Lonchura striata: one gene and its partners. The protein of the gene in region 3 purifies or fractionates together with the protein of the main gene of each other region. This does not show direct contact. Links are inferred from orthologs where the notes say so. Each region holds a gene or a part of one and is shown on either strand. Other genes may lie near its edges.

Region 1 (7,459 bases), on a different chromosome or scaffold from region 3:
AGTGATTGCAATTAGTGTTGGAATGGCGCTGTCAGTCCCTGAGATTTAGTTAACCACAGCACACCAGTGGTTAATTTGTAAATAAAAAAACATATGCATGGTTACGAATACTCCCAGAAAACTGAAGTTGCACTTAACAACATTTAGAAATGCAGCCATGATTTCAGATACAATTTCAGTACACTTGGACAGAGCTTTAAAAGAAAATGTAAAGCTCTGCTGTGCTGATGGCCTAAGATTTGCTGTGTCACGCAAGAGGGAAAAGCCGTAAATTGGCACTGCTGATGGTCATCCTAACTTTAGGTCTAGAAATGCTGGAAGGTAGAAGAAGCATTGTTCTAGGAGTTTGGACATCACTGACCCATGCTGATGTGTGAACTGCAGCTGCTGAAGCATTGGATTCTAGTTCAGTTTCTCTAAGTGACAGAGGGAGGAAAACACAGGCAGCATCACACTTTCTTCCTGGGTATAGAGAGACTAGAGCGTGGCTGTAATGGTACTAAGTGCACCATGCCACCCAAACCCACCTTCAGCCACAGGCCTACGAATCAAACTCTGTTATCAGAAGCCATATTTACACTGGCTTTCTTCCTGATGCTGCAAGGGCATATATACTGAGTTCCTGGAGAGGTACAGGCTGTGAAGCCATTTTCCCCATTTTACCTGTAATCTGAAGCACCGTGATGTTTCTTGCAATCGGCCGACACAACCAACAGTTTTTGTGAGTCACCCAGACAGACACGGGGAAAGTGCCAGGGAATTGACCAGTCACATTAATTATGGAATTAAACTGCTGCTCTGATTTCTCTATCAGAATCAGAGGAGCATAAACCCAGTTAAAGTGATACCAGTTTGATGTGACATTTTCATTCTTCATTCTTAGCCTGGCCTGAACAGTAGCTTGAGCTCCCGTTGTGATGGGACCATTGTTGGTTATTTCCAGACTATACAACTCTGTGGAAAGCAGAAGAAAATGAGTAAACCAAACCTTCTTGCATGGCATTTTAAATTTCATTTATTTAGCGTTATCATACATTTTAGCTAGTCAGCTCTAGTTATATAACTCACAATGACACTCATCCCAGAAAAGACTCTACCACCATAATTTTTTACTGTTTAAATATTTGGAACAGAAACAATTGCATGTGTATATGAGTTCAAATAAATAGCAGTTAACAACATGTCAGACTGGGTCCTAGAAATGTTCATAGTAGAAGACAGCTTCAGTCTAGAACATCACAAAAGCATTGATGAGGTTTTATACCCAGAGCTGGGTGCTGGCTGTAGGTTCATTGTCACTAATGATCTAACATGATCACTAGATTTCCAGCTACTGGAAGAGGCTCAGTGTCCTAATCTCTGTCCTAAAAATGTAAGCTTTCAAACTCAGGTGAGATTTCATTCACTAGATTCCTTTGCCAGCTCTATTGAAAAGTTTATATAACTTTCCTCACAAGTAAGCATAAAAAAACTCAGTAAAAGCATTTTATGTGCTATGGTCCACCTTAAATTTCCTTTTCCAGGGAAGGACCAAAAGTCCCAAGGCAAATAAAAGATGTACCATGCCGTAGTGGCAGATCAGTTGCTGTCCAGAGGGACCTGGACAAGCTGAAAAAGCGGGCCCATGGGAACCTTATGGGGTTGAACAAGTGCTGCATCTGGATTGGAGTAACACCTGATATTCAGTACAGACTGGGGGATGAAGGGATGGAGAAGGACTTGGGAGTACTGATGGAGGAAAATGTGGACTTCAGCCAACAATGTGCACCCAAGAAAGATATGAGGCTGCATAAAAATCAGCCAGCAGGTTGAGGGAGGTGATATTCACAATGAGGGTGGTGAAACTCTGGCATGGGTTGCCCAGTATAAACATTCAAGGTCAGATTGGACTGGGCTCTGAGCTACCTGATCTAGTTGCAGATGTCCCTGCTTGTAGCAGGGGCTTGACCTTGATGACCTTTAAAGGTCTCTTCCAACCCAAACCATGCTCTGATTCTATGACACATCAAGTCATGAGAATGCAGGACCTGTGATACTGAACCAGCTCTGCTGCTCTGAATGACTCACCATTATCTTCTCTGCCATATTTACTCAAATTACTTACTTCAGATCTTGAACTACTGCAATAGACAGTGTTGAGTTTTGTGGAAAGAATACATTAATTTTTTTTTTAATAGCAGCGCAGAAGCATTAAAGAATATGCATGTGTTAAAAAAAAAAAAATCAACCCCCAAGCCCCGAAACAAAAATAAATGCAAAATAGCTGTAAATTGGGACAGAGTTGGGAGCAGAGCAGAGTTGGGATCTGGTTGCTTGCCTCCAACGTGGAGCATGTCACTTCCCTGTATCAGAGTTCTGCCTGGCTCTCCTCTCATCAGCAGTGCTGGGCAGAGCAGCAGAGCTGGAGGGTTCTAAGGCAGATGCCTTTCATTATCCTCTCTTTCAGCAGCCACCAGACTGCTACCAGGGACCTGAATCTCTGACCTTTAGAGACTGTATTTCTCACTCATCCATTACCTCTAATATGAAGGGAGAACTGGGGCTAGCTAACTCCTACACTGGCTTTTCTGCACCCATCAGCTTGGGATGGGATGAAAGAGATGGCATTTGTGCCTGCATTTTATTCTACAGATCACAGGTGTTGAACAATTCTGGAGGCAGAAGAACTGTGAGAAATGAACTTTAACACTACTGTCTGAGAAAAAACTCCACTGTTCCCATTTTACAGCACAAGAAATGGCCCTGAGTTCCATTTTCTCAGTTAAAAGAGAAATGCTTGTGATTTGATGTAACCTGGCAGAGGGAGGTTTCCTGTCTCTAGAAGATTCAGGCTATGTTCCACTTGGTTTCAGCAGAATTTGGGAAAAAAATAGCCGACTACCTCATGCTTATCTAGCACTTCTCCTTGGAGGTTATCACGGTGCTTTACAAATCAGGGCCACACTGGCCCGACAGCTGAAGCAGCTGGAGGTTCAGTGGCTAAACCAAGGTCACCCAAGGAGTGACTGGCACATCAAAACACTCCATCCAATTCAGGGATTTCTCCTGCCTTTCGGACCTCTCTGCAGAATGGAGCTCTCCGAGTCCCACAGGCGAGGGACAGCAGCTGCCCAGGTGCCTTGTGACCCGCGGCGCGGGGTGAGCGGGGGAAGCAGACGTGCAGCTTTTGGGTTAGCAGTGCAAAGCAGACCCCCGGCTTCCCGGGATGCCCCCCCTTCACTGCAGGCACCAAGATCGCAGCGCCGGAGAATAAAGTCTGGGGTGGTGGGAGCGTGCCCAGAGCTGCTTCCATCCCTTGTCACATCTATCAGGCTCGGGCAGGGAACCACTCCCACCCGTGATGCAGCTCACTCCTGAGGTCTGTGCCCTCTCCCCGAGCATCCCGCACCCCTCGCCCGCTCCGCAGCGGCGATGCCAGCGCAGACCGGCGGCTCCTTACCTGCGGCCGGGGAGCGACCGCGGCCGAGCTGCAGCAGCATCAGCAGCATCAGCAGCGCGCGGAGCAGCCGCCGCATGCTGGCGGCCGCGGGGCCCGGCACCGGGGCCGGCTCTCGAACCGGGAGCGGTCTGGGCGCGCTGGGCCGCGCTGCCCCCGCGGCGCTGCGGCTCCGGTGTCCGCGCCCCCGGGACGCTCCCCCGCGGCGGCGCCCAGCCCGCCTCTGCCGGGGGCAGTTCCTGCGGGATCGCGCTGCCAGCGCCGCCGGGGCCAAAACCGCCGGCGGTTTAAGCAAATGGTCAATAAAACCCACAAATGCCTCGCATCTGCTCAGGGCGTGAGGACATCCCGCAGCGTTTGGGAAGGGGTTTGTGCTGCGCCTTGGTTGCGGCAGGCACAGATAAAGTATTCCAGTGCGGCAGCGCGGGGATGCCTCTGCCGGGGGCAGCTCGGCCGCTGTTAGCGGTCCCGCGGCGCTCCGAACGGCCTGTAACGGGTGCGCTGCTGGAGAGAAGCCACAGCAAAAGCGCCAGAATGTGGTTTACTAGTGTGCTTTTTCTGTCGTTCTATTTTGTTTTTTCCTGTTTTGTTTTGTACATTTTGGTTTTGATTCGCTTACTTTTATTTTTTTTATTTTCTTAAACTCAACATCCGAAGCCCTTTCTCGCTCCGGGCCGCCGTTCTGTTTCTTGCGGCGGATCAGCCTTTGCGCGCTTCGTTTTCCGGCGGTGCCGCCGCTCCCCCGGGGCACCGGCGGGGCGGAGTGGGCCCTGCGCTGGCCGGAGGCACCGGTCACGGCCGGTAAATCCTCGCCCGCTCTTACCGGAGGCCACTCAGCGGAGCCTCGGGGGACGCGGGGACGGGCGGGGCTCGCCTCAGGCAGCGGCCGCCGGCAGCGCCCAGCCGGGGCGAGCCCGCCGGGGCGGGGCGGGAGTCCCGGGTCGGCGGGGGTCGCGGGCGGCGCGGCGGAGCTGCGCGCCCGCCTCCGCCCGGGGAGAGGCGGCCCCGGCAAGAGGCGGCCGGAACTGAGCTCGGCGCTTCCGTCGCGCCCATGCGCTGCCGGCGGCCTCCGGGAGCAACAAAGGAGGGAGCCGGGGGGCCGCGGGCGGGCGGCCCGGGGAGCCGCGGGGTGAGGAGCGCCCCGGTGGGGCCCGGGCCTGGGCGCGGTGAGCGGGCCGGGGAGGCGGGGCCGGCGCGCTGCGGGCGGGAGGCGGCGGCCGAGCCCCGCCGCAGGCCTGGGCCGAGCGCGGCGCCGGGGGGGCTGAGGGGCGGCGCGGAAAGCTCCGCCGCGGCCGCTGACGGTGCCCGTGTCCGCAGGGCGGAGATGGGCTCGGCGTGACGGCGGCGGGGAGCGACCCGGGCGAGCGGCGCTGCGGCGGGGAAGGTGAGGGGCGTGGGGTCCCGGCTGGGCCGGACCTGGCCTGAGCAAAACTGATGGGGAACCCCCAGGGGAGGAGGGAGGTGGCCGGTTCCTCAAGCTAGATGTGATGTGGGCTTCTTTACGAGCGGGACAGGCAGCTTGTGGGGCAGGAGAGCTGCTGGCGGCCCGGAGCGAGTCCCCAGGGTGTGTCCCAGGGGAGCTGTAAGTGCGGCGGAAGGCAGGATGCTGACAGGTGTGCGCGGTGGGAGCATCCCTGAGCCTGCAGCCTGCTGCTGCGAGAGAGGAATCCGAGCGGAACACGTCAGTGTTCGTGCCGAGGAGAGCTCAATAACCCTTTTATCTGTTACTCCTGTCACGATGAGTCCTGTACATGCTTGGTGTTGTATTTGTAAGCCTAAGCAAAGGTTACAGTTTTTGGAAAAGGTGGTCCTCTTCAATATGTCAGAAGAATGGATGCAGGTGATGGGATAGCTGCTGTTAACAAGCCATGTAAACTGACAAATAATTCTATATTCTTTTACAGGCGTCTTGATCTTGATTTTATGTACTGAAAGCTGATCTTTACTCCGCCAAGATGGCATTTGTTTCAGCACAAGGGCCCACAGTGGTGGACCAAACCACTTTGATGAAAAAATACCTTCAGTTTGTGGCTGCTCTTACAGATGTCAATACACGTAAGAGATTTTTTTCTTCTTGAAAAGTGCAGCTCTTCAGTGGTTTGTTTCACAAGTGTTGCCAACTTGTTCAGACAGTTGATGAAAGAGACAGTGAAATCTGTCAAATTAACTTTGAAATTTGTTTGAGTTTTGGTTTTTGAAGAAGCAAAATGATGAGAAACACTTGCATGAGCCGAAGTGAGTGAGTTGTGTGTGTGTGTGCAGTCGTGTGTGCTTGTTTGAGAGAACTGTGTGTCTTATAATTGGGCAGTGATAGCTAAACTGATAAGATCTGATTGCTTCTTTGATCAATGAGTTTGTTGTTTTCCTTCATGGCCTAGTTTTACACTCACATTTTTCGGCTTGAATTTCCATTTTCAGCTGATGAAACCAAATTGAAAATGATGCAAGAAGTCAGTGAGAATTTTGAGGTAAATAAAAAGATAATAACCCCAAGCAACAAAACTCCTACAAAAACCCCCTAACTTTCTGCAATGGCAGCCTTTCTTATGCCTCATGCATATTAATTGAATTTCTGATGTTATGCAGTTAAAATATTAATAGTAGCATCCTGTGGCTAATGATATGGTTACAAGTCATTGATTCTAGGTTTGTAGTTAGGAATGAACCAGGCTGTTGAAGAATTGCATTTGGGCTTAGTGAGCTTTCATTGCCAAATATTTATTTATTCATTAAGCATTTAAATAAAAGTGAAGTAAGACATTTTTCTTCTATTTTTTGAATGCTATGAAATGTCTGTATTTAAAGCTTTCTTTTATTTAGTTCAAATGTGTATTGTGCTCTTGTGAAACAGAGGCCCTTCTGATTCCTCTGATTATTCCATGGTGTGGAAGTGAGAGAGGAGTTGTTAGATGCAGAATCTGACATCAGGAGTGGAGATGTCTCCAGTGACATCTTTTGCATGGTGGTGGACCATCTTTTTAGATGAGCAGCAGAGAAAATGTGAAAGTTAACCCAGCCTCGTGTTAGCAGAAACTATTCTTTAGTTGAATTCTTAATTGTTATGTGCCTGTTCTGAAATTACAGAAAACTAAAATCATACTTGTGGGGTTTTTTATCTGCTTAAGCTATTTCTAAAAAAAATTATCTGATGAAAATAATAGTTTTAACTGCTTAGTCTGGTGATCTGTTAGAATCTGAAGACTTAATTGATTCTCGTTGCTCTTCCCTTCAGTAGGGAAGGACTTGTATTTGTTTTGCTAATGTTCACTTGGAGCTCACATGGTTCTGTAGTGTCAACAGATACTTAGTCACTGAATCTATTCAGAATTCACGGAAAACGTTTAATAGTGGCTTTGAATGTAACTGAATGTAATCTATGTGATGTCTGTTTTATAACCCCTCATTTTTTGTTCTTAATTAGAATGTGACATCATCCCCTCAATATTCGACGTTCCTGGAACACATCATCCCTCGGTTTCTCACCTTTCTACAGGATGGGGAAGTTCAGTTTTTGCAGGAGAAGCCAGCACAGGTTAGTTGTGTGGAGCATCTCTTGCCTTTTTGCTGTGAAGTTCTGATTAACCTAATGAACTGATTTAAGACTTGTTAAAAATAGATCTGTCATTTGCAGTGGAACTGAGAAAGTCAGGTTTCTAAATAAGTTACTTATAAACTTTGCTAATCTGGGCTTCTGTGAAATAGGAGGAAAAGTAGGTGTAACAGAGTTGGCTTTCTTACTGAAATATTACACATCATTGCAAATTACTGACTTTACTGAAAGTTAGGAATGAAAGGAGAAAGTTGAATCTTTGTCATTAAATATTTAAAATTGCATTTCTTAAAAAAAGTCTGATTTTACAACTGTAAATTAGTTAAATTTGCCTCTTTCACATAGGTGGATAGTAGGAAGAGTTATGCCTTTGTATATGTCTACATGAAATAAACTGGCTTTTTTTCTGTTTTCGCATGCACAATTATTAAGCTGAAAAAGATGCTGCAACTAATTGTTGGGTTTTGTTGGCT
Region 2 (7,633 bases), on a different chromosome or scaffold from region 3:
ACAAAACAGGAGATGGGACAGGACTTATTTCCATAATCACTGAGAAAAAAAGATCCAGTTAGTAGAACTCTGTGAACTCTTGTTTCAGAGACACACCGACTTTAGAGACCTATTTCTACAAATTCAGACAATCCTTGACAAATTACCTGGCTTAGACCTGGCTGGTTCTACTGATTTATCATCACTGCAAGCCAGATTTCAAGCGGACTTGTTCCTTCCCCAGCTTTCTGTGCTGTTTCCTGCAGCATTGCCTGCCTGGCTGTGGCTGCAGTTTTGCCCCTGCTTCGGATCCATCCTAGGAAACAACTTCAGGCATCGCCCACACATTGCAGCCTAAGGCATGATGCTGCTGAAAGATGCTTGTGAATACCCTTAGCAAAACCAAATGCCAAAAAAAAAAAAAGGGTTCTAAGAGGATCTCCCAGACCCCTGAGTGGTTCTGTGCGTGTTTAAAGGAGCAGACGTGCTCCATGAAAATCTGCTGCCACCCACCGCCACAGCGACAGTGAGTGTGGCTGCGGTTCCAGTGCCAGCTAGGCAGGGTTACTGCTCCTCTGCTTCCCCTCTGCAGATCCTCTCTGCCCATGCTGCCTCTTTGTTATTTTACAAATTAATAGTTGTAGTTAAAAAAAATTAAAATTAAATGCCCCTGAGAAGAAAGGATGAGCTGAACAAGCCTAATCAAATGTTGAAACTGTCAAGGAAGGGAATTCCTTCTGGATCTGTCCGGACCAGCTGGGCTAATGGGACTTTAGTTTGCTGGCAGGTACAATCAGTAAAAATCACCTTCAGTAAAACATACTCTGATGTAGGCTTGGGCTAGCCAAGGATTCAGGAATTGATCCTTGTGCTCAATGTTCAATTGAACCTTGAGCTTGTTCATTATAAATCCACTGGTTCGTCTTTCTGCCTCTCTGTAAGCCTGGGGTATGATGGATTTATCAAACTGAAAAATCAGTAAATGGCTTTTCCTTCTCCAATCCCCTCTGTGCTGGGATATTTTAAAGCACAACAGCAGCAGTAACAAACGCCTCTGTGCATGCTCAGAGATAATTATTTGCACTGTTTTCATCTACTTTGCCAACGTTTGCCATCTGATGCCCACCTAATATGAAGCTTCTCTCCGCTGGGAGAACGAGCACAAATGATCACAAGGGAAAAATTCAGTTTGGGAACATATGTTGGAGCAGAGTGGATCCCCTGTTTGACAGCTGCTGCCCTCAGCCTTGCTGCTTCACCCTCATTGTGATTTAAATTCCCTCTTTTGCACCTGTAAGAAGCCGTGCAGAGCAGATCTTGAGAGTGAATTTTCCATTCAATGTCCTTGTTTAATATAATCTAATACACCTTTAAGCAAAGAAAAAAGGTAATTATCTGGAAGAGGCAATGCTGCTCTAAGGGGCTTTGTGATAAGACTCTAACAACAGACTGCTTTATCTTCTAATAGGGAGAAAACCATCCCCATATCAAACTATCTTCACTGATTTATTAAATGATATGTAAAATAAACAAGCTCCAAGTTTTGGACAATTCCCTGGGCAGCTCTGTTAAAGCAAATTTTCCCACAGATTTCACACTTAAAAAAAAAATGGATTCTGAAAGTACAGCTAAAGCTTACAAATCTCATCAGAACTCTCTCTTCAGGAGGTCCTCCTCAGTCATAAAGGGTATTTTATTCAGAAATACTGGAATGTGCCAAGGTATGGAGGTTACTTATTTTGTAGGAGGACTTATGGATCTGAGAGGAATTTGTTGCAGGAAGAAGCTCCAGAAAAATGTACTTCTGCATGTACTTCTTACCTGTGTAAGAAAAAACCTGTTAGACTCTCTATTCAAGAAGTTCTAAACCACCCCCAGAAAAGGTTAAAAGATTTGGTTTAATGCAAAAGTAGGCAGATGATACTCTTTTACAAATGTTCATGAGGCACACCAAAAGTTACAGGATTTGGAATTAAATTTTTGCTTTGTTAAGGGCACTAGCACATGGTGTTCTAAAATAACGACAGAAATAGTTGTAGCCATATTGCTTATCCCAGAAATCCAACACTTCTAGGGAGAATGCCAAATGCCAGGCAGATTTCTCAGTTGTTGCAAAGTCTTAGGAAATTACTGATCATCTTCTGGTGGGGGAAACACTGATCCAGCCAAGGGCTCAGCACCCTTAGGTGACACAACAACCAGCCAGGTTTTTTAAGCAACCTAAAGAGTAGGGAGAAAAAGGAAGAAATAAAATCATGCACTTCTTACACAGCCCTTATCTGCTTAAACCCAAAAGTAGAATTTAAAGTTGAATGGGAGAAGTGCAATTTTTTCTGAAAAATCTGTTAACTGACTGGGAAAAAAAACCAAACACACACACAAAAAAAAACCCAAACCAAAAAAAAAACAAAAAAAACCCACAAAAAAACCCCAACCTAGTCAAATTTAATGAGGGAAAAAAATAAACTCTGGTCAAGATCCAGGTGGAGGCTGTACGTAGCATTATTATAGGCTCCCATATGTTTCCTAGAGGCATTGAATGTGACAAGGGAATTTAGACACACAGAAATTATTTCTGATTGAAACAAAATAGCAGCCAGTTTGTGCACATACTGCTCCTGTTGCACTAATATTATTGTACTGAATTGAATTGTTTTCAGATGCTGTTTTATTTTCAGAGGTAGGCATCAGTTTTTTCATACTCTGTTTCATGTTACTTTTTTTAGCCATCAGAAGTTAGTGACATAAAAATTGCTGTCTGAGTTGACACACTTATTCCCTCTTGATGTCTTTAAGTAGGAGCATAATGTGACAGATGAGTGCTGAAACTCAGTGTCTCACACAGGCTTAAAAATAAGTTATGCCTGCAAAACTTTGAAAACTGTTCTACTGGGGAACAATTTTTACACTCTGAAAATTTGCTTTCCTTTCTCCCCTCATACAGAAACATGTATGAAAACAGGGATTTAGTTGTGCAGGAGATCATTTCCTCCTGCTGTGCAACCATCACAGGAAATCATAAGCCTTTCTCTCAGTAGCAGCTGAAGACCAGGCAGCAGTGTAGATCAAATAAAAACTGGAAGATTAAACAGGGCTGAGATTTAGGGCTGGGTTTAACTGCAAAAACATGAGGAGCTGTCTTTGAGATTTGCAAAGTCCTGTGGATAGGTAATTTTGGTTCAAAACGAGGAAATCGGTGTGAAGCCTGAGCTGTGTGAAGGCAGACCCAGCACAGCCAGGACACAGGTACAGCAGTGACAGCAGGCAGAAGGAATAATCCTGAGATTCCTGTGGTCTTGATGCAGAGAAGTTGTTCCAGCAAGATCTCTGCTCACTCTGGAGCTCTCAGAGAAAGCTGTTCCTGGAGAACTTCAACAGCATCAAAGCCAGACTGGAGTCACAGAATCCTTTCCATTCCAAGAGGCCAGAATAAACCCCACTGGAAAAGAGGATTTGTATCCAGGCATCCACATCCAGGATTCACACAACAAAACTTCTCAAGGCTTCACACATGAGGTTCTGGGCTTAATTTATTTCAAATGTTTATTTAATGTTAGATTAACCTGTGTGGGGTATTAACTACATCAAGCCCAAAACAATGATACGAGTCAGCTCTTTGGGTATGAACAGGTACAGAAAGTTCAATTACAGAAAATTGCATATTTCCCTTCCTGCTTTTTATTATTTGGATAATTTGCATGAAAATAATATCTCTGCTTGTGAGTGTTTGCCCCCACTGCTTTATTATTCACTCAGAACACTCATTCCTTGCATATGACGCGATCGTTATTTGCTGTTGAAATATTTTTAATGTCACAAAATGGATTAAATCTTCAAGTGAGGAGTGAGCAGTTGGAAAGCCCTATCACCTAAGCAACAGCAGTCCTATTTCATGCTTGTGTGTCTAATTATACTTAACAAGGCAAAAACCCTTTATCGCCGAGGGAGTAATACGTTCCCTTTCTTCCCAAACATTTTTTTTTTTTTTTACATCTTAAAAGATGGGCAAAGCTGGTAGGTTCTGCATTTTGTAACCAAGCCAGGCACAGTTATTTGTTAAGCATCAGCGCCAGGTTGGTATTTGATATAAAACGATCCTGTTGTGTCAAGGAGCAGTCAGGGGGGTTGCAGTGCTTGGGACATCCTTCACCGTGGCAGCTCCTCGTGCCAGACAAGGACAGGCCATGGGGATAGATGCTGAGCTGGCCAAGACCTCACAGACCAGGAGGGGAAGCCCTGGGGTGGCCGAGGCAGCCGGGCTGACCGCCAGCCCAGCCGCAGGGCTCTCAGAACGCAGAGCCGAGCCCTGCGGAGCCCACGGGCACTGCAGCGCGGCCTGACACAGCAGCGCGCTCCCTCAGGCCCTTCCCAGCGCTCCCTAACGCTGCTCCCAGAACCCCGCGAGCCTCCTGCCGGGCAGAGCCGCGGGCTCGCCGCTCCTCAGGGCCGCCCACCGCCGCTGCCCGCCCGGTGCTGCCCGCCCGCGGGCTCCGGCGCTGCGAGCGCGGGGCTCCCCGTCCGGCGGAGCCCCCCCGAACCTGCGGGGCCCCGCCGAAGCTCCCCCGCCCCCAGCCCGGCCCCGGCGCGGCCGAGCCCGGCTCCCGGCCGGCAGGAGCCGCTGCGGGCGCGGCGCGGCGGGGATGAGCGAGGCGGAGGGCGGCTCGGCCGCCGCCGTGGAGAAGCCGCCGCTGCCCGCGGCCGGGCCCGGGGCGGCCGCGGCGGTCGCTGCCGCTGTTGCGGCCGCGGCGGCGGCGGCGGCCGGCCCGGAGCCCGGCGCGCCGGCGGAGGAGGCGGCGGTGGTGTGGAGCCCGGAGGTGGAGGTGTGCCTGTTCCACGCCATGCTGGGCCACAAGCCCGTAGGTGAGCGCGGGCCGCGGCCTCCGGGAGCGGCGGGGCCGGGCGCGGGCTCCGGGCGGCCGGGCCGGGCCGCGGGGCCGGCGGGAGGGAGCGGCGGGCCCGGCCGGGCCGGCGTGCGAGCGGCCGCGCTGCGCCTCCACGGCGGCTCGGAGCGGGCCGGGCGGCGCGGGCCCGGCTCGGCAGGGTCACCGCAGAGCACGCGGCGCAGCGCCGTGTGCCGGCCGGCCTGCGATAAATCCAGCGAGGGAGGCTCCGCAGCCGCTCTGGGCAGTGTGTTCCAGTGCTCGCAGTAATGAGGTTCTTGCCTGTATGCAGGTGGAGCTTCCTGTGCATCAGTTTGTGCCCGTTGCTTTATGTCCTATTGCTCTGCACCACTGAGCAGAGCCTGGATCCATCCTCTTGGCACCCCCCTTTTCAGAAACAATAATTCATAAACATTGTTTGAGATCCCCTCTTAGACATCTCTTCTGAGACTGAACAGACCCAGCTTTCTCTCCTTTTCATTGTCAGAGGGATGCTCCAATTCCTTCTCTCAGTGCAGCCACACCAGGAGCTCTGTGTCTGTATTGCAGTCAGGAGCCCAGAACTGGGCACAGCACTCCCTATACATCCCTTGGGATGTTTCTCACACAGCCCCTCTAAAAACTCTGTGTGTGTTAGAATTAGCCACAGGGGCACCCGCAGCTCCCTAGAGAACAGCACCTGCAGTGTAGGGTGAAAGATCAGCCAACCCCGCTGCCAGCTGTCTCTCCTGTTAATGTATGGATTCCTTGTAACAACATAGCTTTTTTAATTCATAAGTAAATAAATAAATCTCTTTATATCTCTAAGTATCATAACTAAAACTGTTAGCAGCGTTAATTGCACTGGGTTCTTCCCCCCAGGTGTGAATCGCCATTTCCACATGATTTGCATCCGGGATAAATTCAGCCAGAATATCGGACGGCAGATCTCATCCAAAGTGATCTGGGACCATCTGAGCACCATGTATGATATGCAGGCTCTTGTGAGTATATAGGGTTGGTGCTGCCACATGGTTTCATGGAGTTCAGAAGTTTTGCCAGGCCAGAATCACTGGGCCTGTCATGGTACTTAGAATTAGGTGTCATTCCAGTGAGTTGATCGGGTTTTCCCTGAATAAAAGTAGATTAGGTAGGAGACAATAAAGCCTGCAGTGGCTTTTTTTGGGTTTTTTTTTGATACCATGTTCTGACTTTGTTTATTAAAGTCACCTAAATTCTGATCCAGAAAATGTTGATATACATTTATAAGTGTCAAAGGAGAATGTTATCATTGTGTACATAAGAATTTGCTATGTTTGAGTTCCAAAAATGATCTCAGATGATGGTGAGTTGTGATCTTAGGTATCCTGACCTCAGTAATCAGTTTGATATTAGAAGCCTCCTGATTTTCTAACATCTGAAGTGTCTTGTTAAAAATTATATAGCTCCTAATTGCATGTAAAATAGAACTTGAGATTGCATGTCAAAATTCAAATTAAAGTCTTTACCAGTCACTCACAGAGATCCTTCTTTTCTTTCTAAGCATGAATCTGAGATTCTTCCATTCCCTAATATAGAGAAGAATTTTGCTCTTCCTGACGAAATGATTCAAGAAGTGAGAGAAGGTGAGATGTGATTGCAGGCTCTGATTCTTGGTTGCTTTATTCTCATCTCAGAATTTTTAACAAAATTCCCCCCAGAAAACATGTATTGTCAAATCTAATAGAAATGTACAGGAGTTTGACAGAAATCTCAGGTTGAACAGCGAGAGAAGGATTTTGAAATTTAGCTGATGTGTGTTATACAAAGTAAGAACTAGAAAATTCAAGCACCTGCCAAAGACTTCTTGGGATATTTTAAACTTCAGTGGAATGCTTCTCAATTATGAGGTACATTAAACTTTAAAAATTCAGTGAAAAATCTTAGCACAGATAAGACATTGCAATATGTTTTGCCCATGCAGCATTTCACTTTCTCATGTTAATAATAATTTCCTGGCACTGAATTATTGCTGAGCGTTGCATGGACTATTTGCAAACATACAAATATGCAGAGGCTACTAATCCAGAAAAAATTCACGTGGTTCTTTAAAACCATCTAACTAATGCTAACAATCCTTTCTGTAGGAAAAGTAATGATGGAAGAAGAAGTGAAAGAGGAAGTTTTAAAAGAAGAGATGGAAACGCATGCAGGTCCTGAAGAAGGTAATTTTGTAACTCTCTACTGTGTAATACGAGATTAAAAACCAACTGTAATTGAGAAATTAATGTTAAAATGTAAATCCAAATGCAGTGTACTGTGTGATTTGTACTCAGACTTAGCCTGTGCTCCTGCTAAGAACTTGACTAATAGTGCACAGAGTAAGCAGCTGCTTATTGAAAAGATTTCTTTTTTTGCTCCTAATTCATCTGTACAAAGTTGTATAGCTTTGGAGATTTTTTGCTTTAATATGTACTTGACAAACCCCTGGGAGTCTGAAGGAATCTGAGGATCTCTGGAAGAAAGCTGAGTCTGATTTTTTTGAACTTAAATGCTCTGTGTTTGGAACTTTGTAGTCATGGGGGAAATAGGGCCTATAAATCAAAAGAGATTGTAAAATTGCGTGCTGAAATGGGAAGGTGGGCAGAATGCTTATTTTATTTTATTCTCATTATCTTGCTGCTTTTAAATAAAAGGCTTGTTTTCCTAACACTTCGCTGTAGAACAAGTCAAATGTGAACAGTAGAGATCCTGCTATTTATCTTAACAGACCAAGCCAACTGCTAACTATATAATTTCATCATATTTATATCACT
Region 3 (7,307 bases):
TTACTATACTGAACAAAGCACAGATAAGAGGAAGCAAAGCACACAGCAAAAAGAGAGTGTTGAAGGATAAATTTCTGTGTAAGACAATGGGAAGGATGAGGTTAAGGAGTTCTGGCTGTCACCATCTTATTTCACCTTGCCTAACTAGCTGTAGTTTCCTTTCAGAGCTGGCTAAACAAGAACAAAAATATTAATACAGTTTAGTCATTACGACATTATTAATAGCAAACAGAAAGGTGTACCATTAACACCCTATAGTGTGGCTATAGGGGTAATTCAAGTCTTCCTGAAATCAGTACACAAGTGTTATCTGCAGAACTATTACAGAGACTTGTATTTTGTTACAAGTATAGAAATTTATCGGAAAAGAAACCCTCCTGCTTTCCAGTTGGTCCTCAGAGGCGCTAGGTGCAGTTAGGTTTAATTTTTTTATTATAACCAATTCAGCACTGTAAGCCCAGCTGCATTCAATAAGATCCCACAGGCACCAATACAGTGGGTCTCATTCACAACCAGAGATTCACAAATCAACTTACCAATGAAACACTCTAAGTCTGGCTGGGTTCAGAAGAACTCACACAAATACAGGCTCACAAACAGTTGTGGAACAACAGACTGTAATTCTTACAGATTGGCAACTATGGATTCATTAGATGTGCAAAATATAAATATATAGTACTATGTACAAGTACTTCCAGGTATGTTCTAGAGGTGCAAATTTTACAAAAGAGGTATCCCAAATTTCGGGAAGGAGAGAGGAGTAAACTCTTGGACTTGTCTGCAAGGTAATAGTATTTTCAAACTCTGCCATGGAGGATTTCAAATACCAAATCACATTTTTTGGAGAAGTGGAAGTGAGAATGTAGTCAAATATTCTGTTAGCTGCTATCACAAAGGGGAGGGGTAGACCCTTTATACCTAAATGAGGAATAAAGAGAGCTATAAAAAGAGAGATTACAAATGCTGTATGTCTTAAGCAGGGGCAGAACAGGACTGTGACACCTAAGTGTTACTCCCTCTTCCAGCTGGATTGCAGTGATTAGAATCACCTACAATCTACAGATAAAATAACCTATCCCCCCAACGGCAGGCCAGCAGGCCCATGGTAATCCCTTCACCACATATCTCACACCAATCTCATTCCTACAATGTGTGAAGCTGTTTAGAGATAACAGATAAATAGCTATATCTATATATGTGAAGCTGAACAATCGAATCCATTATCACTACAAACAATACAACAGTGCTGGCACAGAGGGTGGGATTTTCCTGAACCTAAATACAGCAGCCAGCGAGGAGACCCAACTGAGCACAAACCTGCTATTTGACAAATAATAACAGGGGCAAATACAAGTCATACAGGAATTAATCTCACCACAAAAACTAGAGCCTGAATAATTTAAGTGGTGTCTAAAAATAATCCCTTACGAACTATATTACTCACCTAAGGGGAGTTGGTTCAAAGTTTAGCATACTAAAACCTCTGACTAAAAACTGTGTACTAAAAACTTAACTGCTTAGCTGTCACCTAAAAAATTAATTTCTTAAATGCTCTCTGCCTAGCTTTTGAAGTTCCACAGATATCCAGATTTGTATCCTGGGAATACCATGGCAGAGCTGAGCACCTTGACATGTATCTCCCACTTAAACTTATGCAGGATCCAGAAACTGTAAAGTTCTGAAGGCTGTGGTACAAAGAGATTTCTGGGAATGCTTCATCAGCCCACTAAAGATGATCTCCACCACTTCTGCAGAAATTAAAATTCTGCAAAAAATGAATTCAAGAAAGTCCAAATATTATCATGTCCATAGCCCAGTACTTAGAGAGGGCTGAGAAGTAGTACCCGCTTTAGAGAATTTGTTTATGTTTTTGAGGCAATTTGAAATAATAAGGAAATAATACCAAGTAGTAGGCAGAATAGAAAAGAAAACAACACTATACTCCAATTCTAAAGTTCTGAAAACCCAGGCAGGTGGTTGAACAAGGCAGCAGCAGCCTGAATGCTGGGCCGTGTGTGATCCTGCAGCAAAAGCAGCTCAGGCACAGCCTGCCCAGCACAGACAGCACTGCAGTGCCCACACAACATCAGCAATGAGAAGCACCGGAAAAAACTTCACAGTAAAAAAGCTGGGGCACAAGTGCTGGGTAAATGATGCAAACATTCACCACTGTGGCCTTCAAAGGGAAGACCCTTGGAGATAGGCTTTCAGTACAAATATTATAAATATCATTAGGAACATGGAGCTGGTGAGTACTCCCTTTGGCTCCTTTTGTGCATGTGGGATTGAGGTTGAGTTATTTGCACTCACAGCTGGGTCTGAAGTTGCTTTGGGATTGTTCCTGTGTACCTAAGTTTGTTTCAGTTTATCTCTTTAAATAGCAGAGAGGGGAGTTCAGGTTGTGCTCGTGAGAGTATCTTGCTAGCCAGCATGAGGCGATCTGAGGCTGGTTTCATGTACTCTACCTGACCCATCCCTAGCCTGATCTGTGTGGTAAATATATATCCTTGCTTTGGTTTATCTTTGGTGCTAGGCTGCCTTGCCTGGTAATCCCAGCTGTAAGGAGCTCCAAAGCAGCCAAAGTGAGCTGTGTGGAAAGTTCATGTGTGAAACAGGGAATGTCTGTGGCAGGGGTTGTCTCTATCTGATAGGAGACCTTCTTCCTCTTCCTAGGACTTGTGTGGACAGAAACCAAAGAGAAAAATAATTTTTTTGTTTCTTCCTACATCTTGAATGGTGTTCCACAAGGGTATGATGGCCTGCAACTTAGTTCTCTTTTCCTGCATGGTAAAGGGCACATGGATCCTTGATTTTCAACACAAATAGTTTTTAAACAGCATGCTGAATGAAATCTTAAGTTCTGCAGGCTTTTGTAAAACCTTGAGGTTTGTTTTTAAACCAACTCTCCCCTCAAAATCCTTCAAACCCTCTTATCTTTTTTTCTTGCGGAAGGAGAGTATAAACAACTGATGATTCAAATAGACAGAAGCACCAGACAGTTACATAAAAACAAACTGCTAGATCCCTGCATGTAGGAGTGTCTGCTCTCAATTCAGTCCTGCCTCTCTGTGAATGTGCCTGGAAGTAGGTCTCCCCACCCAGAGATGATAGCAGCTGGGATTAGATGCCCGAAACAGGGTGGTGAAGTAATTGATGATGTGGCCTTAGGCTGTGTAGAGATTCAAGCAAAGGGTCCTTTATAGCCAGGGCACCAAGTATTTGCAGTCAGATGTGGGAGAATAAGAGCCACAAAGTTTTAAATCTTTTCTACTTGTGTGAACAGCTTGAAAGACCTTTAAGTGAAGCTCTAGGGATCAGGACATATCCTGTCTTAGAGCTCTGAGTACTTTGGTTGCTGTAGACCTGAATAAAGGGGAAAAGTTATGGTGTAGAGAGAATTCTCATGAGAACTTTATGCCCTCAGCTCTACGTCCCATTAAATGTCTGGCTGTAAGAGTATTCATTGTGCTCAGGACCCTTCAATATCAAGGCAGAGGAAATACAAACTACAAACCCAAAGTGGTGGGTTTGTGATCAGGTTGGTAAACTGCATGACTGATCTATCTCGTCTTCTCTCTAAAGAGCTGCTCAGCCATCTGAAGGCCGAGGTCTCTCTCTGAGCTCACTGCATGCTCACAGATGAACAGTAAATCTCTCAGATAATACAGATTTACAGTGTTCTGGAAGAGCACAGTGAATTGTTACTTTTTTGAAGCTGAAAATATAGGATTAACCAAAAACAGCATCAGCTGAGCTCTGAGGTTAAATGGCAATATACTGAAAATGGCAACCCAAAAAAAAACCCAAATGGGTTAAGGCTTCATTTAAGGAAACACAGGCAGGGATTTTGAAGTGCCCAAGGTGAGGAAATTTGCACTGCATTAATTGTTACACTTTGAACATAATTAATGATAAACTGCTTTTAACTGTAGTTTGTGAAATATCCGGTGACACAAGGGTGTCTGAGGCTGGGTGGTCCTAGGTATTGGTGCATCCCCTGCTTATAATAGGGGTAAAAATAAAAATCAGTGCACATGTGTAGTGGTTGGCACTTCTCCAGCCCGGAATCTTGAGGAGTTCATGCGAGCTTTATTCGACGCCCCTGAGCAGCCTCGTGTCCTCGGCAGTGTAATAGCTCCTCATCCCAAACGCGGGACAGTGTCCTTCGGGCTGCTCCTGAGGCGCTCTGCACACAAAGCCAATTAACTCCACTGTGGAGAGAAAGCTTCGCCGGCAGTGCGGCGGCTCTGGAGCGACCCGAGTACAGCGGGACCTGGCGATACAGAACCCCGCGAAAATGAGTGGAGTGACTCCGGGCAGGGTCTGTGCCGCCGGTCACCCCAGGGAGACCCAACCTCAGAAGGGGGGGCCGCCGCCGAGGCGAAGGAAGCCCGCACACGGCGGGAGCCCCGACGGAGCGCGCCCCGCCGCCACGCCCCGCCTCGCACCGGCCCGTGAGGGCGGGGCTTCTCCGCTCCCCGCCTCGCGCGGCCGGCCCCGCCCCGGCACGCCATTGGTTGTCGCTGGGGCAGAGCGGCCGCCCCGTCCGCCGCCATTGGCTGGCGGCGAGGCCGGAGTTCCCGGATGTGGCCGCGCGGTGCGGATATAAAGGGCCGGGGGAAGGCGGGAGTGGGCGCAGTTTGAATCGCGGCGGGTCGAGTCAGCTTGGTGCTGTCGGCCGGGCTCGGTGCGTGCGGGACGCTCTCTGCTTCAGCCTTCCCCTGCGCGGCACTGCGCTCCGGTTCGCTATGGTGAGGAACCGCGGGGGTCGCTCTGGGGGTGGGCGGCGGTGCTGGGGCCGGGGCGGCTCCGTGCCGCTGATGGTGGGGGGGTAAACCGCGCGGGCGCAGTGGGGGGAGGGCGGGGGCGGCTGGGGGGCGAGGGGGTGGTCGCACGCGCAGTGGCGCCCCGGGGACGGGGGAGCGGTGGCCGCGCATGCGCGCGGGGAGCGGCCTGTGCCGCGCGGTGCGGCAAGCGGCGCGCACGCGCCTCGCGGCCGCGCGGGTGACTGCGCCGGGAGGGGGGGTGGTGGAGGGGCGGGGCGCATGCGCGGTGGGGGACGTCAGCGTCTGCTCTCCTCTTGGCATTGCTAGGCTGGTGGGAAAGCCGGGAAGGACTCTGGGAAGACCAAGACCAAAGCAGTGTCCCGTTCCCAGCGGGCTGGATTGCAGGTGAGCAGGGGCTGAAGTGTGGGTGAGTGAAAGTCAGGCTGGCCTTCATCTGTTGGTTTGTTTGTGCAGTGTGAAACCTTCACACTCTGCTGTCTGGCTGTTGCCTGGAATGATATAAGGATTGTAAAGCAGACATCAGCACACCCAGCTGGTTTTAGACCGTTGCATATCTGTGCAGGGAGGAAAGTAATTCCCTTGTGGCCATTGCTATGTTTGTGCTGAGAATCATGAAAGTTGCTTATGTGAGTTCGGCATGCAGTGTCTTAACTGTATTCTCAAGGTTTGAAATGCAGCCTGTGCTTCTGCCACTGGGATTCTGCTGCCCACAATGGGGTTTTGTGCAGAGCCTTTCTGTCGTCACAGCCTGTTCATACTTCCATTATTTTCCAGTTCCCTGTTGGCCGCATCCATAGGCACCTGAAGTCTAGGACAACTAGCCATGGGCGTGTAGGAGCCACAGCTGCTGTGTATAGTGCTGCAATCCTGGAGTACCTGACAGCTGAGGTAAAATGCTTGCAAGGGGTGCAAGCAAATTGATCAATCCCCAGAAGGCACAACAACCAGTGCCTACTGTATTTGACATTTTGGACTGGGTTGCGAACTCTTTGTGTGCTTTGAAGCACTTCTAAAGTGTCTCAAAAAGCAAAAGACCATGAAAAGTAACTCCTCTATATTTCATGCAAGCCCTGCAGCTTGCCTTGTAGGAAAAATGCAGTGTGTGAAATAACTTTTAAAATGGACCATTACAGCATGTCTTATCTGCTGTAGAAGACTTACTCTGTCATTGGGAAAACTAAATGTGAAGCTCCAAAGGAGGAACCCCTTGAAAAGAGACATTGTTTTCTGTTTTGGTGTTAATGGCAGTGACACTGTATTTGGACGAGAGAATTGAATAGCTAAGACTGTGCTGTTGGTCTCACTTGATTGTATAACTGTTGAAAAATGGTCTTGTCTCAGGTCCTTGAGCTGGCAGGAAATGCATCCAAAGACTTGAAGGTGAAACGTATCACTCCCCGTCACCTGCAGCTTGCCATTAGAGGAGATGAAGAGCTTGATTCTCTGATCAAGGCAACAATTGCTGGTGGTGGTATGTCAATACTTGCTGTTTATGGGTGCTTGGGTGGCATGAACTCTCACAGACTTGAAGTTCATTAGTGTTGTCATTTTATTGGAAGTGTGAAGTTTAGGAAAATTGAAGAAAAACAGCATGGTCTTAACTGTTGTTCTTTTTTAGGTGTAATACCACACATCCACAAGTCTCTCATTGGCAAGAAAGGACAACAGAAGACTGTCTAAAGCATACCAGGATTCCTTGTTATCTCAGGACTCAAAGTACTTAATTTGTCCAGTGTTGGTGATTCCAGTGGACTGTATCTGTGAAACACAATTTTGCCTTTTTTTAACTTTGAGAAGCTAAAGCTCCCTTGAGCTTTCTAACAAACCAAATTTCTGCGTTGAAGTCTTAACCATATTTAAGTGTTACCATGGCTTCAAAGAAGCTATTGTGTTTGTAGTGGGTTGTAATTGAGCTGACTGTTTTTAGATTGGCTTAAGTAAAGGAAATGTTTGGTTTTGTACAGACTTTTCATCTACTAGAGTGGAAATAATAAATGTTATGTCAAGACTGATTTGTGTCTTTCATTAACTGGAAAATCTGGTCTCCACTGTGCTGCTCTTGAAGTTGTTCTGAGAGCAAGTAACTGACAACCCTTCCTGCTGGGCTTGGGGCATCTTGAAATACAGCCTAAGACTACTGCAGCCAGTAAATGCCATGCAGTGAAAGTGCACAGGGCTTTGTCCTGTGAAGTTACATTCTTCCTAATTGAGCCTACTGTGCCATGTGCTGAAGTTTTCTTTAGCAGGGCACATAAAAGGCTGATGTTATTTAAGGCCAGTTTTAATCAGTGTCAGCCTTTGTAGAGGGTGAGGGTCTGTCACGGAGGAGGGTAAAAGATAAGTTTCAAGGGCTGTTTAAATTCCATGCTTCACATAATTTCATGTTAGGGTCTGGCCTCTTACTGTTTCAGCTTGCAAAAGCTTTGGCTAGACACCCACAAAAGCAGGGACTGTACTGCAGCAGCCTTTTAAATTGTGCCATGCAGCAAAAACCTCAGTAGTGGATTTCAGGGGGGGGTC
Region 4 (7,670 bases), on a different chromosome or scaffold from region 3:
TACTAAGTGCCTCCATCTTCAGAAAAAAAAAAAAAAAGTGAAAATAAACGTGGAAAATTCGAATCTGACTATCTGATGTCTGGCAAAGTTCTGAGTAACTGAAAACAGACTTGTGATGGAAAATATCGAGTAACCTTAGCTATAGGTGTCAGTACCAAGTATGTGATGTTTTTTAAAGCAAACAAACCAGCGAAGCGCACACAGATAGAGATCAGCCGTTCTGATTTCCAGGGGGCTGAGCAACCCCCAATCCTCTCTGTCTCTCCCCCACCACAGTTGTGTGCAGCCAGCGCTGCCTGCTGCACCGTGCACATCTGGCTGACACGGTGCGGCACGGCCACGCTGCTCTCCCTGCCCCCTCCTTCTCCTGGCAAAACAGGAGACGAGGCTCATGACGAGTGCCGAGCGAAGTCTGAAATGCTCTTCCCCTAACGGGAAGTAGACGCAGAGTCACGCTGGCGTATGGGCAGCCCTCACCTAGGTGGCTGTTTAGAGAGTCGATCCTCCATTGACAGTAGGATGTTCTCAGAAAAGGAGCACATGTTCTTGACCTTATTCTGGTTGTATGCTCCAAAATCCTCTGTGTGCAAGTCTCTATCTGTCTCTTGTTCCAGTGGCATTTGTCTACTGAAGGAGCAGCTCCTTGGACACGACAGGAAGGGCTGTCTTCTCTCCACAAGATGAAGAGACTTTCCTGTGTCATTTTCTGACAAAGTAAAAATACTTCCATTGGGTTAAACAAGTAAGCTCATGCTTTTCTTTGAAAAAGACCTCACTCAAACTAAATAAGGGGGGAAAAATAGAAGGGGGTGCATGATGAAGAAAACAACAATGAAAATTGGTCATTTAGATTTCCTTAGCTTGCCATGGAGACTTTGTAGAAAGCTGGGAGTGGATAAGTGTATCCTGGGCAGAGGAAAAAGCTTTTGTAGTGTTGGGGGAGACTTGCAGAATCCAGAACATTTACTTTGGCTATTGCTGGGGATACAGAATTCTCACAAGATAGTTTAAAATGGGGGCAGGGAGACTTGGTTGTTGAAGAGACACAGATTCTGGGACAATACTCAGATACTGAATGAAAGTTTGAACCTTTTCCTTGCTAATTCCAAAGTAAAAATTACCTATCTCAGAGTTCGATACCCACTCTCCACTCAAAAAAATTATCTAGGGCAAAATTCTCTGCTTTACCAAAGAGAAAATAAAGGGCAAGGCTTCTCAGAAATGCTGGGATCTTCAGGGTTCCTTTGCAGAAGTGGCAAAACCTTAGTTCAGTCATGGCAAGCCTCAGTATGATCTGGAAAGCTTACAGGGCTGCTGAGTGGCAGACATGAGAAGTAAGACCATCCATATTAGATACAAACAGTCAAAACTAGGTTAAAGGAAGAGGTGAAATGTAGCTGCAGCCTTTTCAGAACAGCACCACATTCACAGGTACATCGGGGGCTGCCAGTTTTACGCAGACACTGAAAGATATTTTTCATGTTACTGGTTGTATGTAACTTGACAGTAGAGATATTACAGACTGGCTGGAGCAACCCTCAGTCTGAAAAACAGCAAAAATGAAGAGAACAGAAGTATGGCTGTGTCCCAGCACACAAATGAAGCAATACAGTGGCAGCATTGCGGTGCCCAACATCTAAACCCATCAACCCGTCTGAATTGTTATGGAACGCAAGAGGAACTGACAAAAAATAGCCTGAAAGACCATAAACCGATCTTTCAGATCACATTGTCTGCAGCACCAGCATGGCAAGCTTGTAGTCTGTTATCTGTGTCCCACATACGAACGGTCCATGCTAGGCTGGAGAGTCTCCCCCTTTCCAAAATGCTCTGGGGTTCCTTCCTCCCTTGCGTCCACACTGAGCAGCACTGAAATACACAGGACTGAATTTTCCAGCCTACAACCCTGAGTTCCAGAGTGAAACAATGTAAAAAGCTTTGTTCTTCTTGTTACCTTGGGGAAAGATGTTTAAAAGGGAACATAAATGAAAAGTGAAAGTGAGAAAGGGCTGTGGGCCTGGTAAAAGCCTGGACAGGGGCAGCTGCCCACAAGGTAGAGGAGGATGGGGCAGGACTCTTCTGGGTCTCGTGCAGGGACCTGAACCCTGACTAACTTAGACCACACAAAATGACAGACATTATTTAGAGGTCACCCCAGCTTGTTGCTGGGAGCGCAGAGTACAGAGTCCACTTTACCCAGTTCTTGGAAGCAGAGCTGGGCAGGGGTGTGTGGAAGGTCCTCTGGCCAGTTTGGGTTTCCCAACACGGGCGCAACACCAAAGCAAGATGTTGCAGGCATTTTCCCCATGGGAAGTATGCTGGGGGGTTGTTTTGGGGTGTTGACACCCATCAGCACAGGTAGGGTAAGATTGAATTACACAGATCTTACTGTAATTGTTTCCAAGCCAAGTGCTATAAACTCAAAAGATTCAATTAAACTGGGTAAGTAATTGAACCACAGTAAGGTATGGCAACTTCCAAGTTTAAAGCAGCCAAATAACTGGAAATCTATCTCATGGAAATCTATCCTTTCCTCATCAAAGGAAAATATTTAGAAATATATATATATTTAATCCATTTAATTTACTTGGCCCTCACAAACAGTAGAAACATCTTGATCATAATCATGTATATCCCATATGGAGTTTTTGTTTTGAGGGAAAATTAAGATTTCTGCTGACTAAGAAACTTCAAGTTAAAAAGGAAAAAAGGAGTTGGAGCTGAGGTGGGGAACCTTGGGTACACTTGGGATAAAAATGTACTAATTTGTCATGCAGAGAAAGATTTCAGGGAGGTGGTGGCTCATTGGGAATGAGCCTTCGGAGGCACTGGGGCACACATTGCCTAAAACCATTAGCAAACAGCCTTCTTCAGACCATAACCATGCTGGCAGGAGCCTTGGGAATCACCTGCAGAGAGCCCCAGCACCTGACTCCCTTTGCAGGATCTTCATCTTCATCTGCATCACACCTCTCCCCTTGTGGCCAAGCCACTGGGGAAAGAGGCAAATATGGAATTCATGGGCACTGGTCGGTGCTGGGCTGCTCAGCTCGGGAATTTGTCTGTCTGCCTGGCTCCTGTTAAGAGGGGATTGTGTCAGCACACACAAGAGGGAATGAGAAGTCCTTGCAGAGATCCGTGTGAGTTTGGTGGTGGTGTCGTCCACCACACGTTTCTGTAGCGCTGGATGGTCTGCTTGATCTATGCGAAGGATGGAGCATCTCTGGAAGAGCAGTGTGCTCTTTCCTACCACTTTTCCTCCATGGAGCTGAGATAAATGAGAGCATCATTGTCATGTGGGCAAAGGTATGTACAGGGATAGTACAGGGTGCGTGCTGCTGATGGCTGGAGAGGTAGGTGGGATTTTTGTATGTGCAGGAACATGGATTACACAACAGCCTGTTGGGATGTATTGGTCTAGTCTTTGCTGAGAGGCGGGAACAAGGGCACGGGAGGCGCAACTCGTGCTGTGGAGTGGCTGCACACGTACTGTGCATTGTGGAACTCTGCGGGAGCACTCAGTGGAGATGGGCACATGGATGTGGTGGTGGAGCCTGGTGGTATCTCAGCAGAGTTGCCAGTGCGAGGCGGTGGTCGGAGCCTTCATGCGCAGGTAAGGGAGAGCTTGCCAATAGCCAGAGCCACTTCGGCACACGGCCGAGGGGATGGGATGGCGTTATGGAACACCTGTGTGCGTGGATGTATTTTCAGTGAGCTTTAGCAGACAAAGCCCGGCTTGTGTTGCAGGATCTGTAAGCGACTTGTTGCTGTCTGTAAACAGCCAATCCTCCTCTTGTGTTGCGGCGTGTTTCGCTGTGGCGGGACGAAACGTGCACATGCACCACCAGGCGTGGGACAGCGGAGGCAACGAGCGCAGTTGTTGACACCCACACATTTTACTGGGAGAGACGGACAGGACTGCACCTCTTTGTTGAGATTAATAGTGCTATGAAAATGCTCAGCGGAGGATAAGGCGGCATTATGGGATGTGATTTTGTTTAATGGGAAATTAATGATACAGTTGCATGTGTATAATTGGAGTATACTTACACCGAGGGACCGTTCCCGTCTGTGCAAATCTATGCGTTTCCTGGTGGAGGCTGCAGCAGGGAGCAGGGTGCTGGGTGACAGGGAGGAATGCGGTACATGGACATGGCGTGTATCACAGAATCACAGGATCAGTTAGGTTGGAAAAGACCTCTGAGATCATCAAGTCCAACCTTTGGCCAGACACCACCATGGCGCTAAGTGCCACATCCAGCCTTTTCTTAAACAGCTCTGGGGATGGTGACTCCACCATTTCCCTGGCAGTCCATTCCAATGCCTGATCACCCTTTCCATGAAGAAATTCCTCCTGATGCCCAACCTAAGCCTCCCCTGGCACCGCCTGAGACTACGTGCTCTCGTCCTGTCTCTAGTTGCCTGGGAGAATGCGGATCTCTGGGGTAGGGAGTTCTGCAGGTACCAGCAGCCAGGAAGCCTCGGGGTGCAGGGGAGGCACCCAAGTCACTGCGGGCTCCCCGCACACAGGCTGGCGGTGGCGGTGACCGCCGGGCACGGATGGCCTTGGAGGGGTCCTGCGGCCTGGCGGGCGGAGCGTGCGGGCTGGGGCACGGCAGGACGTGGCAGGGAAGCGAGCGGGGCGCTCAGCCCCGAGGTCGGGGGCGGTCGGCGGTGGGAGGGCGGTGCCCGGAGCCTGTGCCCGGGGCCGGTGCCAGCGCGCAGGAGGGCGGGAGGTGCGCGGCGGCCGCGCGGTGCCAGGGGTCGGCCCCGTGCCCCGTGCCGGAGCGGGGGCTGGGGCGGCGCGGGCCCCGCGGTGCCGGCAGGGCGGGCGGGGGGCGGCGGCGGAGCCCCGCGGGTGCGGGAGCGGGGCGGGCGGCCGCGAGTATTATGGGATGCCGGGCTGGACGGTGACTCCCGGCGACTATTATGGGATGCCTGCCTGGGCGCGAGGCGGGGGGGGGGGGGGGGGGGTGAGGGGGGAGGTGTGACTATTATGGGATGTGCGCGCTCGGGGTGTGACTATTATGGGATGTTCCGGGGGGGGGGTCCCCACAGCGCGCGCTCCCCGCCGGAGGGGGGACGCGCCTATTATGGGATGGCAGCCCCGGGAGGCGCGGGGGGGCGCCGTGCCCCGGGGTCCCGCGCGGGGCGGGGGGCAGCACTGTGGGATGTTCCTCGGCGGGGGGCAGCACTATGGGATGCGGAGCGGAGGGGTGCGAGCCTGCGGGAGTATTATGGGATGTTTCTCGGGGTGAAGGTGCGGGCGGGGGGGGGCGGCAGTATTATGGGATGTTACCGGCGGGAGGGGTGGCGATTATTATGGGATGCCGGGCCGGGCAGTGAGTGGGAAGTTCTGAGGGGAGGGTGAGTATTATGGGATGCCGGGGGGGGGGGGGAAGGGGGGGTGTGTTTGCCGGGGAGACGGGGGCGGGGCCTGTTGCCGGGGTCCTGGGGCATATTATGGGATGTAGGCGGGAGGGGGCGGGGCCTAGCCGGGTTTTTTTCCCCTTTAAGAGGCGGTGCCGCGGCCGGAGCCATTTTCCCTTCAGCGGCGGCAGCGGCGAGAGAGGAGCCGGGGTCCGGAGCCGGGTGAGGAGCCGGGAGGGAACGAGGGCGGGCGAGGCCATCTGCCGCCTCCTGGGGCGTCCGGGCCGGCAGACGCGTCTCGCCGCCGGCCGCCCCGCCGGCTCCGGCCGCGGCTTCCCCGGTTACGCGCCGTTCCCCTGCCCGGGCGGCCGCAGCACGGCTCCGGCCCCTCCTCCCGCCCCGCAGCCGCCTCGCCGGTGCCCGCAGTCCCGGCCTGCGCCGGCCCCGGGGCACGGCGGCCCCTCGCCGCACGCCCGCCGGACTTGCCCGGCCCCGCCCCGCGCCCCCGCCCGGGAGACGGTGCCCCCCGCCCCCGCCCTGCGCCGCGCGGCCCCGCTCCGGGCGGGGGCGGCGAGCGGGGCGCCGAGCCCGCCCGGCCTTTTGTGTGCGGCCGGGCCGGCGCTGCGGTGCCAGCCCGGGGCTGCCGGCCAGCGCTCCGCGCTGACAGCCGCCGCGCTGCCCCCGGGGCTCCCTCGCGAGCCCGGCTGCCTTGCTTGCCCCTCTGCCCGCTCCTGGCTCAAGGCAGAAACAACCGAGGGCACCCGGCTGCAGAGGACGGGAGAGTTTTCCTTTAGGACAGCTATTTTGGCTTCCTCGCCAGCGATGAGTTGCTGACTCAGTTTAATATCTAGTGTCTCCAAAGCCTGCTTTATCACAACTCTAAACTGATACTTGCTGCCAGTGATTCTGTTATCCATAGGCTCCAAAGCCAGTAAAGTTGCTGTCTAAGCTTTCTCACAGATCCTCTTAGTTGCACTATTGCTCGGGAGAACGGAGTTCAGGTTTGCTGTAACTTTCTCTTTTTCTTTTCAATGAAGTACTGGCCAGGCTGGCAAGAAGACGACAGAAAACCTGTGTAAGCCCAGGCCTCCCGCGGTGTGGAGGACATGGCTTCGGGCATTGGATCTCCATCACCGTGCTCAGGGGGCAGTGATGATGATGAGATGGAGATCCTGTTGAACAACGCTATCCCCCAGCATCCAGGTATGGGGGGGCCTGCAGGGCATGCATGTGCAGTGGGGATAATGTTGGTCTCAAGCTGAATATGTGAAGTGTGTGATGTGTTGGGGAATGCAATTTTTTTTAAATTTTTTTTTTGTTGCAAGTCACACGTATGTTTTTGATTTCTGAGTCCCAGGGTTACTTTGAAGTGAGAGGCTCGAGGCTTTGTGTCAGGTGGAGCTGACTTTGTTCCAAGCCATTGCAGGCTGTCAGGGCCTGTGCTTGGAGGAGGTGTAGAGGGTGGAGGCAGAGCGTCCAATTCTGACCGGGGTACCAAAATGCTTTCAGTTTTCATGAATGGGGAGGGGGTAGAGGAGGTAGTATGTGAAAGGGCAGGTTGCCTGGCTTGCTTTCATCTGGGAACTAAGACCGGCTGACGTCCAGAGAAAACTGCCCTGGGCTGTTGCGTGACCCACTTTCCTTCATCACCACACCCAATTATTGAGGATTCTTACTCCGTGCTGCTTGCTCACCTTTGCTTTTTTTTAGTCCTTGTATTTTGCTTTTCCCCTTGTATTTGCATCCTCATCATCAACATGAGGCTTGAGTTAGAGCCCTGGAATTTCTTCTGGTTTGCGTTTTTTTTCTTGTTGCTGCTATTGATGACCTGCTCTGTGGACATGCATCTGGATTCTTCACTTCCTTGTGAAAAAGGAGTGATGTATATAGTCAATTGTAGGACAAGTGTGGGATTTCCTACTAACTCATGCTGGAGTGTTTTGTCATATATGAGAAATGTAACTGGAGGAGGGAAGATGGTGCTGTGGAGTTTTGAATTTTTATTAGTTTGGCATTTTTTTCTTAAGCCTTGTCTCTTGAGTTTTCCAGCACCTCTGAGATCTTGGGCAGTATGGGACTATCAGTAGTGAAAATCTATTTGCAAAAAAACTGGTAAAATCACTGCAAAATTGAGAGGTTGAGGGAGACCTTGGAAGGGGTGGGTCATTAGAGGCTCTAAATCAGAACTTGGGGGAGAAGGTGTGTGATCCTTGAAGGACCTGGTGTTGCAGTATCACGGGAGCAAAGATACATCCATTGGTTGGGAATATGGCAGGGATCAGGCGTGGGACTCCAGGTTC

Evidence for each region.
Region 1: the proteins of H2AZ1 (region 3) and TRRAP purify together in Homo sapiens (affinity purification with mass spectrometry; 3 studies listed by BioGRID and IntAct, with this or other methods). This does not show direct contact. The link is inferred for Lonchura striata from reciprocal best matches to the Homo sapiens genes H2AZ1 and TRRAP.
Region 2: the proteins of H2AZ1 (region 3) and MRGBP purify together in Homo sapiens (affinity purification with mass spectrometry; 4 studies listed by BioGRID and IntAct, with this or other methods). This does not show direct contact. The link is inferred for Lonchura striata from reciprocal best matches to the Homo sapiens genes H2AZ1 and MRGBP.
Region 4: the proteins of H2AZ1 (region 3) and CHD4 purify together in Homo sapiens (affinity purification with mass spectrometry; 3 studies listed by BioGRID and IntAct, with this or other methods). This does not show direct contact. The link is inferred for Lonchura striata from reciprocal best matches to the Homo sapiens genes H2AZ1 and CHD4.

What each region holds. Positions count from the first base shown.
Region 1 is NC_134618.1:11,371,516-11,378,974, forward strand, and holds the start of TRRAP (transformation/transcription domain-associated protein), read left to right. Parts: upstream 1-4,449; 5' UTR 4,450-4,565; intron 4,566-4,753; 5' UTR 4,754-4,820; intron 4,821-5,340; 5' UTR 5,341-5,391; coding exon 5,392-5,491; intron 5,492-5,632; exon of another isoform or gene 5,633-5,776; intron 5,777-5,854; coding exon 5,855-5,904; intron 5,905-6,857; coding exon 6,858-6,968; intron 6,969-7,459. Other genes in the region: TMEM130 (transmembrane protein 130), read right to left, coding at 664-954, 3,440-3,515. UniProt on the Homo sapiens protein: Adapter protein, which is found in various multiprotein chromatin complexes with histone acetyltransferase activity (HAT), which gives a specific tag for epigenetic transcription activation.
Region 2 is NC_134619.1:5,558,604-5,566,236, forward strand, and holds the start of MRGBP (MRG/MORF4L-binding protein), read left to right. Parts: upstream 1-4,619; coding exon 4,620-4,839; intron 4,840-5,720; coding exon 5,721-5,842; intron 5,843-6,381; coding exon 6,382-6,463; intron 6,464-6,964; coding exon 6,965-7,042; intron 7,043-7,633.
Region 3 is NC_134606.1:49,664,606-49,671,912, forward strand, and holds H2AZ1 (histone H2A.Z), read left to right. Parts: upstream 1-4,637; 5' UTR 4,638-4,748; coding exon 4,749-4,751; intron 4,752-5,093; coding exon 5,094-5,171; intron 5,172-5,561; coding exon 5,562-5,675; intron 5,676-6,128; coding exon 6,129-6,258; intron 6,259-6,405; coding exon 6,406-6,467; 3' UTR 6,468-6,799; downstream 6,800-7,307. UniProt on the Homo sapiens protein: Variant histone H2A which replaces conventional H2A in a subset of nucleosomes. Nucleosomes wrap and compact DNA into chromatin, limiting DNA accessibility to the cellular machineries which require DNA as a template.
Region 4 is NC_134604.1:29,474,620-29,482,289, reverse strand, and holds the start of CHD4 (chromodomain-helicase-DNA-binding protein 4), read left to right. Parts: upstream 1-4,667; 5' UTR 4,668-4,736; intron 4,737-5,245; exon of another isoform or gene 5,246-5,260; intron 5,261-5,517; 5' UTR 5,518-5,592; intron 5,593-6,407; 5' UTR 6,408-6,476; coding exon 6,477-6,573; intron 6,574-7,670. UniProt on the Homo sapiens protein: ATP-dependent chromatin-remodeling factor that binds and distorts nucleosomal DNA. Acts as a component of the histone deacetylase NuRD complex which participates in the remodeling of chromatin.